2 linked regions of the Kluyveromyces lactis genome follow. The protein of the gene in region 1 interacts with the protein of each later gene in a biochemical or structural test. Links are inferred from orthologs where the notes say so. Each region holds a gene or a part of one and is shown in the gene's direction. Other genes may lie near its edges. The genes, in order: MAF1 and SCH9.

What was found.
Region 2: of the proteins of MAF1 (region 1) and SCH9, one has a biochemical effect on the other in vitro, tested with the Saccharomyces cerevisiae proteins (5 studies listed by BioGRID). The link is inferred for Kluyveromyces lactis from reciprocal best matches to the Saccharomyces cerevisiae genes MAF1 and SCH9.

The regions. Positions count from the first base shown.
Region 1 is NC_006041.1:1,555,264-1,562,390, reverse strand, and holds MAF1 (RNA polymerase III-inhibiting protein MAF1), read left to right. Parts: upstream 1-3,721; coding exon 3,722-4,711; downstream 4,712-7,127. Other genes in the region: SOK1 (Sok1p), read left to right, coding at 1-196; DSF2 (Dsf2p), read left to right, coding at 754-2,814; putative DNA-dependent ATPase RAD57, read right to left, coding at 5,072-6,514; UGA2 (succinate-semialdehyde dehydrogenase (NAD(P)(+))), read right to left, coding at 6,916-7,127. UniProt on the Saccharomyces cerevisiae protein: Mediator of diverse signals that repress RNA polymerase III transcription. Inhibits the de novo assembly of TFIIIB onto DNA.
Region 2 is NC_006038.1:324,803-333,195, reverse strand, and holds SCH9 (serine/threonine protein kinase SCH9), read left to right. Parts: upstream 1-4,120; coding exon 4,121-6,325; downstream 6,326-8,393. Other genes in the region: KLLA0_B03652g (40S ribosomal protein eS4), read right to left, coding at 190-203; alpha-1,2-mannosidase MNL1, read left to right, coding at 1,011-3,305; QCR2 (ubiquinol--cytochrome-c reductase subunit 2), read right to left, coding at 7,578-8,393. UniProt on the Saccharomyces cerevisiae protein: Protein kinase that is part of growth control pathway which is at least partially redundant with the cAMP pathway. Regulates both BCY1 phosphorylation and MPK1 activity.

The DNA.
Region 1 (7,127 bases):
TTTCCAGTCACCTTCAGAGGCAAACAGGACATCTACAAGCAAGAAAGAGATGGAAATTAAGGAGAGCCTCGCTGCGATTGATATGGAAGAATTCGAAAACTCCTATCGTCATTTATACACGGTTGTCAACTTTCACTGGTCTGTCTTTGGGTGCCACTACTTGGAATATATGGGCGATAAAGTTGAGAAAGTATGAGTTCTCAATCAAATCGGCAAAAAAAGTCAAACTTCAATTCTTCCCTTTCTAACTTTCAAATTCGGTTCATTTCTTTCTTTGTAACATAAGAGGCATACTCACTTATAAGCCTTTATTGAAGCTATTGGTTTTCAGACTCCACTCACAACCGTTGTGTTTATCCAATTTTTTTTTCTACAAACAATATAAACGTTCTTTAGCATTTAGCATTCATAATGATTAACATTGATACCATGTTCTATCAAATACATTCATCCACGAACAAGTAGTAGTATCTCCCGGATAAACACGCGTCTTTCAAATCTTTACTCAAATGACATCATTTGTTTCAGTTATCTTGTGCATTCCACATTTACAAACGGCTGTCATGAAAACGTTGAAAAAAAAAACAAAACAGAAACAAACAAATAATCATAGAGAGGCATCAAGAAAGGAATAAATCTAGGTTTTAGCTCTAACTAACTAGGAAAGTTCTTCCTTTAGTGTCCCATAACGTGTCAATTGATGGATAAACATTAGAGTCGGTGATTTAGCGGAAGTTAGACCAAGAAAAGACGATGAGCATTGAACATTTTTCCCCGTTGGATGGTCTTCAGAAGCGGACAGGCACCCGATCTGACCTAATGGGGCTGCAGCATGAGAACGTATCTGTGATAAGTTTTGATTCAATTCAGACGACAGGGAGATTATTAGATAAGTTGGACTTAAGTGCTGAGGAAGAACTGTTGTTGCAGAAAGCTTTGGAGGAAAGTGATCAAGAGAAGCAACGCGAAGAGACATCAAAAGTGAATAGACAGAAACCATCCGTATGTCTTCCAGCATCAGGTTTCCTTTCGTTGAGGCATTCTTCAGGACACTCCGGTTTCAGTCACCGACGCATCTCTAGTACCGGCTCGACACCAATGATTTCTGAAGATACCAAGAGAGAAACTTCAAAGGCAATAGCTGTAGAGAACAACGTGGCAGATCTGAGATATTCTTATATAACAGTGGAGGAACATGATGACGACGAGGTACAATCACAAGTGACTGAGTTATCGGGAGCCAGTAATGGTGTGGAAAAGGGGACTGTTACATCTGCATCGAATGGTGTGAAGCCGAACACGTCATCTGATCAGCCAATAAACATAGAGAAGTTTCGCTTCAAGAAACATGAACCAGTTCGATATAACGTTACCCCAGCGATTACTGATATGATGTTTTCTCCTTATAATAAATACGAATTTGGAACACCTGTAAACACCCCATCACACACCCCCAAGACGAGCCTGTCTTCCATTGTATTAAACCATCCCTCAACACAATCATCATCCGAGAGTGAGCAATCTAATGGTCTAGTCAACGGGTTTCAAACACCAAAGAAGAGTACCGCGTCCAACTCATTCCTTTCGTTCCCGTTCGAGGTTTCAACACCACCTAGCAAGGACTTTAAGAAAGGGCACCAATCGAAGAAATCATCATCATTTTCATTTAAGAATTTGTTCAAATCACCAAAGGTAAGTCATCACCAACCTGAAACTCCAATAAATGATTATTCATCGCCAATGAGCAACAAGACGATTGTGGATACTCCTGGAAAATCTACTTCCGTACCAAATACACCGACATCTAAGTTCAAGTTCCCACATCAGCTCAATCTTGGTGAAGAAAATGAACGCTATGACAAGGAAGAGAACACTGTCTCACTTTATAAGGACAAGAATGAATCACAAACTACGAATGTAAATCAAAGCACCAATCATAAACGTAGTCTCTCCAAAGGAAGAGGAATCTTTTCGCATATCACTCATGCAAATAATCAAAGATCTGAACCACAAACATCATCCTCTTCGAGCTCCAAACAGAGCTCAGGGTCTGCTTCGAGATCACAACATAGTTATAAAATGTTATTGGATCCAAGGCCAACGATTTTACCAGTAACCACTTTAGGTGGTAGAAAACCTTCTACAACCTCTTCCTCGTCCAATTCATCTACTGCATCTAGGAACGACCGTGAACCTGTCGTCCAACCATCATCTACATCACAAGGTGAACTAGTGCAGAGAAATAACTCTAACAAACGTCTCATTGCAAAACAACGAATCAATATTGCCATTGAATTAAGAAACAAAGGTGACCTGAAAGGGTCAACTGCACATCTCAAAGAAGCGTGTAAATTGGAGGACAGAACAGCTTTTTTGCTGTATGGTCTTGCCTTAAGATACGGGTCTGGTACCGAAATCGATTTACACGAATCATTTAACTGGATTAGAGGTGCAACGGGTATCAAGGATTTCAAAACCAGCGTATTACATGCAAATATAGATCCATTTGAGATACGTGAACCGCTTCCATCTCTACAGAATGACGCAGCTGCCCCCGCTCTGTACGAATGTGGTATAGCTTATATGAAGGGATACGGTGTCACTGCTCATGAATGGAAGGGTCTGAAATGTTTGGAATATGCAGCATCGTTGGGACACGTTGATTCTATGTGTTTATGCGGTACCATTTGGTCAAAGACGACTCCAAATAGGAAAAAAGATTTAAGACGAGCAGCTAAATGGTTCAGACTCGCAAAGGATCAAGGAGCAGATCTAATTGGAGCAGACTGGATCTATAAAACGGACTATCTATAGTTATCGTTCACTCACAGAGCAAGCTCCTCTCTAACAACATTTATTTCACATAGTAACATTAATTTCTAATATCATAATACTTTAATTCTTTACCGCATAAAAAGTTGTGGTTGCCACGGATTTGTACATACAGGAACATACATAAAGCAACTTCTTTTTGACTATAGAATGTCAATGTTAGCTTGGAGATGGTAGCTTCTGTTCAATGGTGCTGTCTGCTTTCAACTCACCTAGCTGTGGCCTCATAACTGAGGGTTACCCGACCTTTTAATGCGCGTTCCCGTTTCTCGAAGTAACATGTGCTGAGTTGAAATTATCACAAAGACCGATAACGCTGCCCTTACAATGAGTTTTCGAACAGCCAACCATAACAAGCTTGATAGGAGGCCGTCAATTTAGTTGAATCTAGCACAGTGTGTCTTTGAGCTCTCAAGAATACTGTTTTATTTTCAAACGTTTCACCGCTTCCAATTAACCTGCAATAATGAAGGTATGCGAATAATCGTGTTTTAATATAGTTCTGACATATTCATAATGAACAAACGGAATACTAACCTTATATTAACGGCATGTATGTATATTTTTTGCATCATGTGTTACTTAACATCTTTTAAAGTTTATCGATGAATTTGATTTAGAGGTTGTTAACCAGGCTCTTAATTTCGAGACCTCGGACTGCAGTATCACAGGTGGTTGCGACATTTTCACGACAAAGCCCGTAGCTTCAGATAAGAAGCTTTATAAGACCATAGATCGTCATTTGGAGTCCTTACTTCAAGAAAGTGAGTCGCTTACTGCTGCAGCTCACAGGAGGCAATCTTTTGACGAAAAGAACAGAACTATCGATGAAAATGTGCAAGAGCAACAGAGCCCAAACCCTAATTCATTCTGGGAACAAAAGAGAAGGATGTCTGTTAGCGAGAATTCGAGTGGGACAAATAGTTCGTCACCTATAATAAAATCTAATAAGTTGAACGACCAAAATTTGAAGGAATTCGTGCTGTCAACTGACAGTACAAATTTTGTCACGAATGGACACAACAATAGTAATAGTAGTACCACCAATGCTAACTCCAATAACGGATATTTGAGTTCATCATCAATGGAATCGGGGCCTTTAGGGATCGCTTCACAACGTCCCAGTTTCCTAAGGAGGACTAGCAGTGCTGGAAGCATTGCAAGCAACCATACCGATACTTCGAAAAGAAGACCTAGCACAAGTGGTTCAGCGAATGAAATACAAAATACTTCATACCAACAGAGGAGGAGGTCATCGGTACAAGGAAGAGACAACGTAAATATTGGACCGTTTGGACCTATCAACGAAACTGCTAGCAGGAGAGCTTTCGCGTATCTAATAGCCATTTTGAATGCGTCCTATCCGGATCACGATTTTTCGTCATTAGAGCCCACCGATTTCGTGAAATGCACCAAGAAAAGTTTCATCTCGAAGTTCGAAAATACCTTGATATCTTTAGGAAAACCACCTCAGGAATGGATCTGGGAAACGATCAACGGACATATGGATATCAACGATTGCGCTTTCTATCAATATGTCCCTCAAAAATCGTTTCTTGAAGATGAGCCTGGCCATCTTTGGTCATTGATGTGGTTTTTGTTCAATAAAAAAAGGAAAAGAGTCGCATATGTTTATCTAACAGCATGCCGTTTGAAAGGAACTCCCTCTGTTGGAAATAGTGTCATATTGGCGGATGACGAAGATGAAAATTCAAGTAAACTAGAATCAGAACGTAAACAGAGAAGGAAATTGACGTTAGATAACGACAACGATTTTGAAGGCGAATATGATTTAACTTATGAGGAGAATGCTATAATTGATGATGATGAGGGCATCAACGAAGATTTCAAGGATGAAGCCATGGATGATCTTAACTGATTATCATTACATTTTCGAACCAACTTATCGCTTTCCTGTATTTTTATTGAATTACCTTCCCCAAGTTCACGATAGCTAAAGCAGTGCATTATTTGGATGTTGTAACCTATAGTATTTCTTCTTGCTGTATCATTTTTTTCTAACTCTCTCTGTCTTTCTACCTATGTTTTATTATTAACACTATTGTTCTTATTTCAAATATAAATATAAAATCATGACAGTCCTTCTATGACGTAAACTGAACCTTTCCATACAAAATAAATACGCAACACGTAACACTTTATATGATTCAAAGTTGCTTAATTATATTTCTCCATATCTTTGAGTTTTCTTGACAGGAGTTAAAGCGCAATTGATATATCACTGTACCGAAATAACACCTTCTCCACTAATCGCAAAATTCATTTCACCTTTCACCGCATAAGTCGAAAACACTAGCTTCAGATTTCTCTGCACTTGCCAAAATTGAGAGGTATCTGTTGTATTGTTGTAATTGAATTCCCCCGTGCGTACCATAGGTGATGCTTTATATCGTTTCTCCAGTTTTATTCTTGTCATTAAATGGTTAGCCCAAGTTAAACCGAGATTTGGTACCTTCGTGTCAACTTCTCGTTTCCTTCTTGATAACAGGAAAGGTGCGGATGGTTGGGGCTGTGACGGTACCACAGGGGTTTTACTTTGAGTAGGCTGAGGTGAGTTTTGTTGAGAGATAACATTATTCCGCAGCGCTTCAGTCCTCAATGCTGCGACAGACTGCGCAGGGTCTTTATTATTTGTATCTGGAACACTAGCCGGAACATTCTGTTGTAATTTCCTTGCAACCTGGTCTACAATTAACGTATAGTCCTCATCGTCACTCAATATGGTCTCATCATATTTCTCTATTTCATTGAATTTGTGTCTATAAAAAATAGTCGAATTCTTCCATCCGATGTTCCAGCCCAGCTGATAATCATAATCCTTGAAGTCCTGTCGTATTGGCTTCTCTGGTAAAAGTTTGTCACTTACTTGATTGGCGACGACGATGGCCAAATTATGTTTTTGAGCTAAAGAAAGTAAGTTCTCTGCCATGGAATCTATAATATACCTGTTTGATCTCGATTCTTGAAATGTTTTCGATTGCAACTCAACCCTGAGATGGTGCGAAATCGAATCTATTATTACTAATTTAATAGATGGGTGTCTTTCCAGTAGGACTGGAAGCTGGACTGTTGTAACATGTTCTTGATTAGCCCAGTCATTACAGGTGACAGTGAATATTTTCTTTTGAGACACCAAGCAATCGCCACCTTCATCTTTAAACAAAGATGATTGTTCTATGATGCTTTTCAGCCTTCTGGTTGGTAAGTCACCCTCCGTAGTGATATATACGCTCTGCCCGTTAAGGCCATTCATGTCTTCTGGCAACTGAACAGAGAGTGCCAACTGCAGAAGTAATTGTGACTTCCCAGTGCTACTTTCTCCGAATATTTCAGTGATACCTTTTGAATATATGCCTCCGCCTAAAAGTTTGTCTAATCCAAGGTTCCCGGTGGTGAAACATCGTGGTTTGTCATCCTCCTTCAGTGTTGTGATGTCTTGTATCTTAATATCGGCCAATGCCAATTCGAATTCATTTCGTAGAGCGGCTTGAAACTTTATAATCTCATTGATAGATCTATTAATGGTCTTCATCAAGTTAGATGGTGACTGGGATAGGAAATCTAAGCAGGTGATCCCATGAAAGGTAGCGGCATCCAGTAAGAACTTGTATTCCGGTTGATGAATCATACCACTGGACGGAAGTTGTTCATATAAATCCATGGTGGGAAAACAACAGCAGCTGAACCCCCACTAAGCTCAAGTGAAGGATGGCACTGAGTACTGGAAAGTGGCAGCTAATTACTGTTGTGGCTTTATCTTTGCAGATCGTTACTAAGCTTTCACTTACGCCATAATAACGTTTTTTCAAATCAATTGTTAAATGTAATCACAATCACTACGCGTAACGAAACAGTCAATACGAGGCTATCAAATAGAAAACAATTGGATTCTCGTTCCAATAACTGGTTAACTCAGGTTGAATAATCAACTCAACTTATATCATGCTATGTTAATCCGCTCTTAATCCGAGGATAAATATAAATTGCTACACTACTGGAAATACGTTTCTATATACATATGGTACATATCGTCTACTATTATAATCAGTTACGCCCATCAATTTATAGTGGAGCAGGCAAGTTTCCGATGGTGATAGTCTTGATGACAGTATAGTCTTCAATACCGTGCAAAGATCCCTCTCTACCGAATCCGGATTCCTTAACACCGCCGAATGGAATGGTACACTCACTGAACAAACCAGTGTTGCATGAGACCATACCGGTTTCCAAAGCTTCAGCAACGGTGTATACGGTATCAATGTTCTTAGAGAACA
Region 2 (8,393 bases), on another chromosome or scaffold:
TCTTATAATCCGTTCAACTTCAGGTAGTAATCTGTTCTTATTTGGATGTCATGTAATTACTTAGGTTCTTCTAATGTCACCGGTATAATTTGAACACACATTCGATTGCCATTTCCAATATCTTTTGCTTGAGCTGTGTTTTCCCAATAGCTTTCGTTCGTTTGTCATCCTCTCGTTCATATCACATACGGTCCTCTAGCCATCTTTGCTTATCTGTGGAGTTACTGTTCTTCTGAGCTACAATCCTTCAAAACAAAGTATCAATAACTATCTATGAAGACTATAATGTATTCTTGTATTAAAACTAACTTCAACTATAATATTTCAACTAAGTTCGATTTTTTTCCAGTAACGAAATCTTTACAAAATTGCAGACACACTCAAAGACACACAGAATCACCGAGGCCTGAACCTAGACCTCATTCCCAGAGTGCCGTGCTGTGGAGGGGAATCAAGAATCCAGAGCAGCGGGTTGGCTGAAGCAGTAGGTGAGAAAGGTAGGTAGAGGTATGGGAAACTGTCGAGCCTAGCAGTAGGCTGGAACCCTCTGCCTAGCAACTGCTTCGCAGAGGCCCAGGAGCCCAAACCGCAAGCTCCCTGGAAGGAATAATTGGCTGGCGGTGTTGAGCTGTCTATTTTCCATTTCGGAATATCAGCGAAGGGAAAAAACGTGACTATAAACACTATATTCGGAAGTTTAAAATTTCTGTAAAATATAGAATGTATGTCTGGGTGTTGAAACTCTTGACACATTTCAAGGGGTAAGGATGTAGAACAACAGTCCCACATTACTACAAAATGACAATCGAACAGGGTTCATTATATTGTACTTAGCGTATGCATTTGGCATTGATTAGAAAATGTAAATATCATCCTTTTGAAGATCTCTGAATGTTTCCAGTCGATGATTATGAGCCGAAGGACCCATATATACCTTCAAGCGAGGTTTTCAAGTTGTTTAGATTCTAATACTGTATTGCCCAATTGGTAACAATTTGAGCATACATGTTATGGAACTGAATCTCATTTCTTTATGGTTTTTCATATGGGTCATTCTGGTAAGAACTGTTGACTGTTTTAAAGCCGAGCCGTACTCTTTCACCAAGAACGAATTGAACCAATATAAGGACCAAGTCAAGGAGTTATTCTATCATGGATTCAATTCTTATTTAGAATATGGATACCCGTATGATGAGGTACTACCCATCGCGTGCGTTCCTATGAAACGGAGATTCGATGATCCTTACGATACCAATACCAACGATGTCTTGGGTAATTTCACGACCACTTTAGTCGATTCATTTACGACACTCGCTGTATTGGGCGATAAGAAGGGATTCGCTGATGCAATCAATTTATTTCATAAAACGGTGCCCGAAACTTTTGATATTGACTCTACGGTGCAATTGTTTGAAACTACAATTCGATTACTCGGTGGGATGATGTCTGCGCATATATATGCAACAGACCCACGCACCAAGGTTTACTTGGGTAAAGATAACTATGATGGATTTTTGCTACGAAGATGTATTGCCCTAGGTGATAAGTTGCTTATGGCATACCTATCTCCCACAGGTTTACCTGTACCCAGGATAAATCTCCGTTACGGTACTCGGATTGATCCCAAACTTATTGAGGAGAATAATGCTGCTGCGACAGCATCTCCATTGTTTGAATTCAGGCTGCTTTCGATGTTGACGTTGAATGATACTTACCGCGAAGTCTCTGAATTTTCATTCAACAGAACCTGGGATCTTAGATCAGAATTGAATCTCGTTCCAATGTCGTTCAGTCCATACGATACCACGATATACAACGAGGTTACAGGTATTGGTGCATCGATTGATTCATTTTACGAAACTGCTCTTAAGGGTTCCATCTTATTCGATGATTCGTGGCTCTATAGTGTGTGGGAAACTGCAATATCCGCCCTTAACTCTTACTCAAAGACAGATTGGTTCTACAGTAACGTTGGAGTATCTCATGGTAAAACTGTCGTTCTTTGGATAGATTCGTTAAGTGCTTTCTTTCCTGGTCTACTGACTTTAGATGGAAGGCTGGAAGATGCAAGGAAGAAACACATAATGTTTTCCAAACTATGGTCTACATACGGTGGTATCCCAGAAAGATGGAACTTTGTGCAATCGCCACCGACCACCGAAGAATTAGACTCACCCTCATTGTCGATAGATTTAGAATGGTATCCATTGAGACCGGAGTTCATTGAATCGACGTATTACCTTTACAGAGCCACTAAAGACGTTTATTATTTGAATATCGGTATTCGAATTCTAAAAGATCTACAGCATCGCTTCAAGACTAGGTGTGGATTTGCGGGGCTACAGGATGTGACTACTGGAGAAGTTCAAGACCGAATGGAATCATTTGTCCTAGGGGAGACGTTGAAGTATCTGTATTTATTGTTCGATGAGGATAACGAATTGCATACAACGCTATGGAATCATATTTTCAGTACAGAAGCGCATCCATTCTGGATCGATGTGGGTTTAAAGAGACGTTACGAATCATACAGGAGGGAAGCAGACCCACCTCATGTTACTACAGAAATGTACCAGTTCCATTTGCTAAAGGCGAAAAACTGGATGAGAAGGACCAAATCTCCTAACAGGAGAATTAACCATGCTAAGAAGAAACTAGATGGCCAATGTATTTCTCCTGAACTGGCGTACACCAAGAGACAATCGAATAGACAAGGTTTCCAAGATTCCGACGTGCTATCCGATCCAAAACTGTTTGAAATAGATTTCAGATATCAGGCTACCTTGGAACAACCTGCATGGAACAAAGGATACATACCTTTCGAGCTAACACCAGAACTATACTCTCATTGGTCTTTCTCCCAACAGAAAATTTGTCTGGTCCCATTGACAAAAGCATTCGAAGGAACCATAGGAAGCAGAGACCCGGACTCAACACTGATATCGACACACCAATGGTCTTCTGACGCTCGAATGTACCGGTTCCAATCAATCTACGGTATCAAGATCGCTTTCCTCGATTTTACATGGCACCCGAACTCTATTGAAGTGCAGGACCCTAACTCGAAATTCGATCTATATGATGTCTTGAACAAGCAAAACTGTAAACCCAAAGACGATACAAGCATACATACCTACACAGTAACCGCAATAGATGGCATTGACCTTGGTGACAACGACGTAGTCGTTGTCAATAAATCAAGCCTCTTCTTCGATGACTCGAGCAAAGAGAGCTACATCTCGATAAATCGCAAATCTCAACTGCTCATCAACTGCATACCAATAACTAATATCTTCGTTTTGTAATATAATACATATCTTACCCGTACGTCTATTCTCGAGGATGGCAACCGGCCTATTTCTTTTTCCTGCCCTTCCTTTTCCTCTTATCTAAACAAACCCGAAGACGTCAGCTCTTGCAATCTCGCAGTTCACTACTTGAAATTCGGAAAAAGGAAAGGAAATCGAGAAAAGTGAGTTTCGAATGGAATAAAGAAACAAGATGCTGAAAATAAAGAAACGAAGAATAAGAAATGAGGAATGGAAACTTGAATAGGAAATAGGAAACAGAAAACAAGGAAGCGGCTTTTCGTTTGTGCTGTAGTTATACTTCTGCAAGTGAAACGGGTATATTTCTGCACAGGGTGTTTTTGAAGCTACGCTAGAGAGTCTTTGTGAAGATCGGAGGCGTGTAAGGTTTCTGGTGGTATATATTGATTTTCTATCGGTGCTTTCAAAGGATTATCTTTTATTTTAATCGAAAAAAGGATCGATAATCGATCGAGTGTAATATAAGAACTTGAGGCAAGGTTCATATTTGTGAGATCAGTGACCAAGTATTCTGATTCGAGCTCATTTTATTTAATCCCGTGAAGCGTTCTATTACTGGTTCATCGGTTTATTTTAGTAATATAAGAGTGGATTAATCGATCCAATTTATCGGGGGGGATTAATAATTTTTTTTTGGTTTTAAGTGCTTGCAATTCGCCATTCCGGTCTCAAGGTCTGAGTCAAGGTCCACGCTAGTTATCGCAGATCGTTAATTAAGTGAGGAAGGTTCACTTTTTGTAATTAATACTTCGAGCTTCAGTTCACATTATCTGACGTTGCCATCGAACGCCATGATGAACTTCTTCAAGTCCCAGAATGAGGGCAACAATGCTGCTGTACCTCGTCCGAAGAGTGCGGGAACTGCAGGTGCTGGGTTCTTTCCAAGCATAGGCTCGCATTCGGCGACTGCGACACCTACCACTGCTCTCAGTGAGCATTCCTACGCTATGGGAACTACCGGTCTTAATCAGAATCGGCAGCAGCAGGAGAACATTCTGGATCATATGAAGGCCTCTATGGATTCAAATATTCAAGAGCAACAACAGCAACAGCAGCAACAGCAGCAACAGCAGCGAGCACCGCAATACGCGCAATCTTCTGATGCGGCTCAACCTAGCATGGCTGCTGCACCAGAAATCAGCACCACAGACAACGGATCTTCTACATCATCTCGTTCAGATTCTAACAATAGTAATGGACAGCTACCCAGGGGCAAACTTAGGATTGTTATTGCAGAAGCCTTGAATCTTTCGATAAGATCGCCTTCTGCATCGCAACCTTACGTTGTTTGTACGTTTGAAAGTTCTGAGTTCATTTCCAATGGTCCTGAATCCTTGGATAACAAATATCCTTCTATTTCAGCTGCTAACTCCAATAACCAATGGAGCAAAGGGTTGCTTAATACCAACGAAAAACTTAAGAGACCTTTATACACTAGACAATCCTCTTCTCAGCTGGATAAATTGGGTAATAACCAATTAAACTTAAAGAGAGGTTCCATTAATCCTGTATGGGAACACGAAGCTACTTTCGATGTCCTAGGAACTCACTCTGAGTTAGACATCTCTATTTATGACGCTGCCCAAGATGACATGTTCTTGGGTCAAGTAAGATTACATCCAAATATGAACGCTGTCACTCCCGGTGTTCATAGTGAATGGCATAAGCTAAAATCAAGAGCTTTGGGTGAACATGTCACTGGTGATATTCTGATTCACTGGGAATATACTTCTACCAAGAAGAGACAATATGGACCACAGGATTTCGAAGTTTTGAGGTTATTGGGTAAGGGTACGTTCGGACAAGTTTATCAAGTTAGAAAGAAGGACACTATGAGAATCTATGCTATGAAAGTTCTATCTAAGAAAGTGATTGTCAAGAAAAACGAAATCGCTCATACTATCGGTGAAAGAAATATTTTGGTTCGTACTGCTTCCAAATCTTCTCCATTTATTGTCGGGTTGAAATTCTCTTTCCAGACACCAACTGATTTGTATTTAGTCACAGATTTCATGAGCGGTGGTGAGCTTTTCTGGCATTTACAAAAAGAAGGAAGATTCACTGAAGATCGTGCAAAATTCTATATTGCAGAGTTGGTGCTTGCCTTAGAGTACCTACATGATAACGATATCGTTTACAGAGATTTGAAACCGGAGAATATTTTGCTGGATGCTAACGGCAACATCGCTCTTTGCGACTTTGGTCTTTCGAAAGCTGACCTTAAGGATAGAACGAATACCTTCTGTGGTACTACTGAATACCTCGCTCCAGAACTATTAATGGATGAAACTGGATACACAAAAATGGTCGATTTCTGGTCTTTAGGTGTTCTAATTTTTGAAATGTGCTGTGGATGGTCTCCATTCTTCGCATCTGATAACCAAAAAATGTACCAAAAGATTGCGTTCGGTAAAGTCAAGTTCCCTCGTGATGTTTTATCACCAGAAGGTAGATCTTTTGTTAAGGGATTGTTGAATAGAAATCCTAAACATAGACTTGGTGCCATAGATGACGGAAGAGAACTAAGAGCTCATCCATTTTTCAATGACATCGACTGGGAAGCTGTGAGACAAAAGAAAATCCCACCTCCATTCAAACCTCATTTGATCTCTGAGACTGACACTTCGAACTTTGATCCTGAGTTCACCCAAACCTCAACCTCTTTCATGAATAAGCAGCCGATTGCAGCTACTCCGCTTTCGCCTGCAATGCAAGCCAAATTTGTTGGATTTACGTTCGTTGATGAATCTGCTATTGATGAGCATTATAACAATGCATACAATAATCGTAAGTTTTTACAAAACTCATATTTCATGGAGCCCGGTTCATTTATTCCTGGTAATCCTAACCTACCTCCAGACGAAGACGTTATTGATGACGAGGAAGAGGATAATGATAGACTTGCAGCTGTGAAGGGAAGTGGTGGTATTTCTGTAGACTATGACGGCGACCATCACATGGATGATGAATTTGTTAATGGTAGATTCGAAATCTAAATCGAATTCATCTTACATCAGTGCTTTATACATTTTTTGGTTGATCTTTTTATTTCATTCACCTAATTAAGATAATTACATCCCAATTTTGCCATGCTACTGATTCTCATATTCTCCATTCGCAGTTGTATTTATTTAGTTTCCTGCTTTTCCCCACTATCGTTCAGAACATGTTCTATCATTTTCATATGAATCTAATTTGCAGGAAAAAGTTGAACAGGAATCGATCGTTGTTACTATAATATTCAATTGCCTTTACATCACCGTTTTTCAAAGTACGAATGTACAATTTTCCAATGCACGGATAATGGTTTTTCATGCCTTATTGTAATATTCTAGTGCTAGCTTTTAGAATGATTCTTACCTGTTCCCCAACCGAAGACAGTTTGTGAGCTCTCAGAAGTTGGATGGCCTTTTTATCTTTTTTCTTTGATTACATATGTTTAATGTAATCATTTACTTTTTCCAATGGAGTTTTGAGAACTGTTATCGAACCTCTTTAATCATTCAGTATTCACTAAAGACTTTAGTTAAACTTTACCTTAACTTAACTTAATTTATTATTTCCGTTATGATTTTCTTTTTAGAACGTCAATTGTAGTAATTATCCAAATGTATCATTTATTATTTTTTATTCTGTCTGTAATCTATGATATTCTTTCCACTTGCTAGTTCTCAATAATATGTTAACTGATATTTGTTCAGAGATATATACTTCAATAAATAAGTGATAAGTTTCTAAGATGATATGTGAAAATAAAAATAGGTTCGGCAAGAAGACACACTACGTATTAAACCAACGTTCTTGCAATATCACCACAACCTCTGTTTGATTGTTTTTCTTAAGAGCAGTGATGGGGATTGTATGAATCAACAGAACTGTTGAATTTGATCAGTGGCTTCTGCACATTTCAAAAGATTAAGATATTGACGGGTTCTCTTTTAACATCACCAGTTTTTCCAAAGGTTAAAGGTGTTCTTTTGAATCTTAGAGAGTTTTGTTTTTGAATTTTATTGGTTTCTTTTAGGTTGCAATGTTTCCAAAAGCCACGAAAGGTAAAAGATAATAAAAAATATGTACAATAGAAATGTAATATCGTTTCTAAACATTTCAGTGATGTGATTCTGTCATCTCTCATGAATATGTGTGTTTGTTTGTTGTTTTTTTTTCAGTTTTAAAGTACTATGTGTGTAACTTTGGCTAGTAGGAGAAAGGTTAAAATCTGTGAGTTATTTTTAACTGTGATGAAATTTACAATTCATCAGCGAAAGGTAGCTTAGCGACGTTACCTACAGCGGCGTAAGAGAATTTGTCCAACTTGACATTCTTGACATTAGAGACATCGATTGGAGCGTTTTCCAAAGATAATTGCAAGGCAGTGTATTCCTTAGCAGCTGAAATGTCGACATCCTTCTTCAAGGTATCAACGACCTTCTTTATGTTTTCAGCAACGACAGAAGCATCCTCACCCTTGACGTATAAAGAGAACAAGCCGGCATTAGCGTACTTGTCTAACTTAGCTGAGTCAATTAATGGAGACAATTCGGACAAAGCAGAGGTTAGGTACTTAGCCAAGACTTCGTAGGTAGCGAACTGTTCCTTAGTAACTGGAACAGCGATAGCGGCAACGGAGGCACCTGGAGCACTTAATCTGGCTTCACCGGAGAAGAACTTTGGTTGAGCTTGAGCAGCCAACTTGGAGCCAGTTGGTAAAGAACCAATCAAAGAGTCGTTGACAAATCTCTTCAAGTCAGCTTCGTTGACACCTTGACCAACAATTTCAATGTTTTCCTTGGTGTAGACCTTGTTGGCATAAGCCTTGATATCATCCAAGGTGACCTTCTCGACACCTCTGTATAGAACTGTGTTACCTAAGTCCTTTCTGAAAGAGACATTGTAAAGTAAGTCTTCGGCCTTGTTGATTGGGTTAGTTTCAGAAACGGAAATGTCGTACTTAGCAGCTGGCAAGACAGATTCTGGTAATTCGTGGGGTCTGAAACTGGTCTTGTACAAAACGTTACCCAAAGCGTTAACGAAGTATGGAAGATCTTCCTTCAAGAAAGTAGC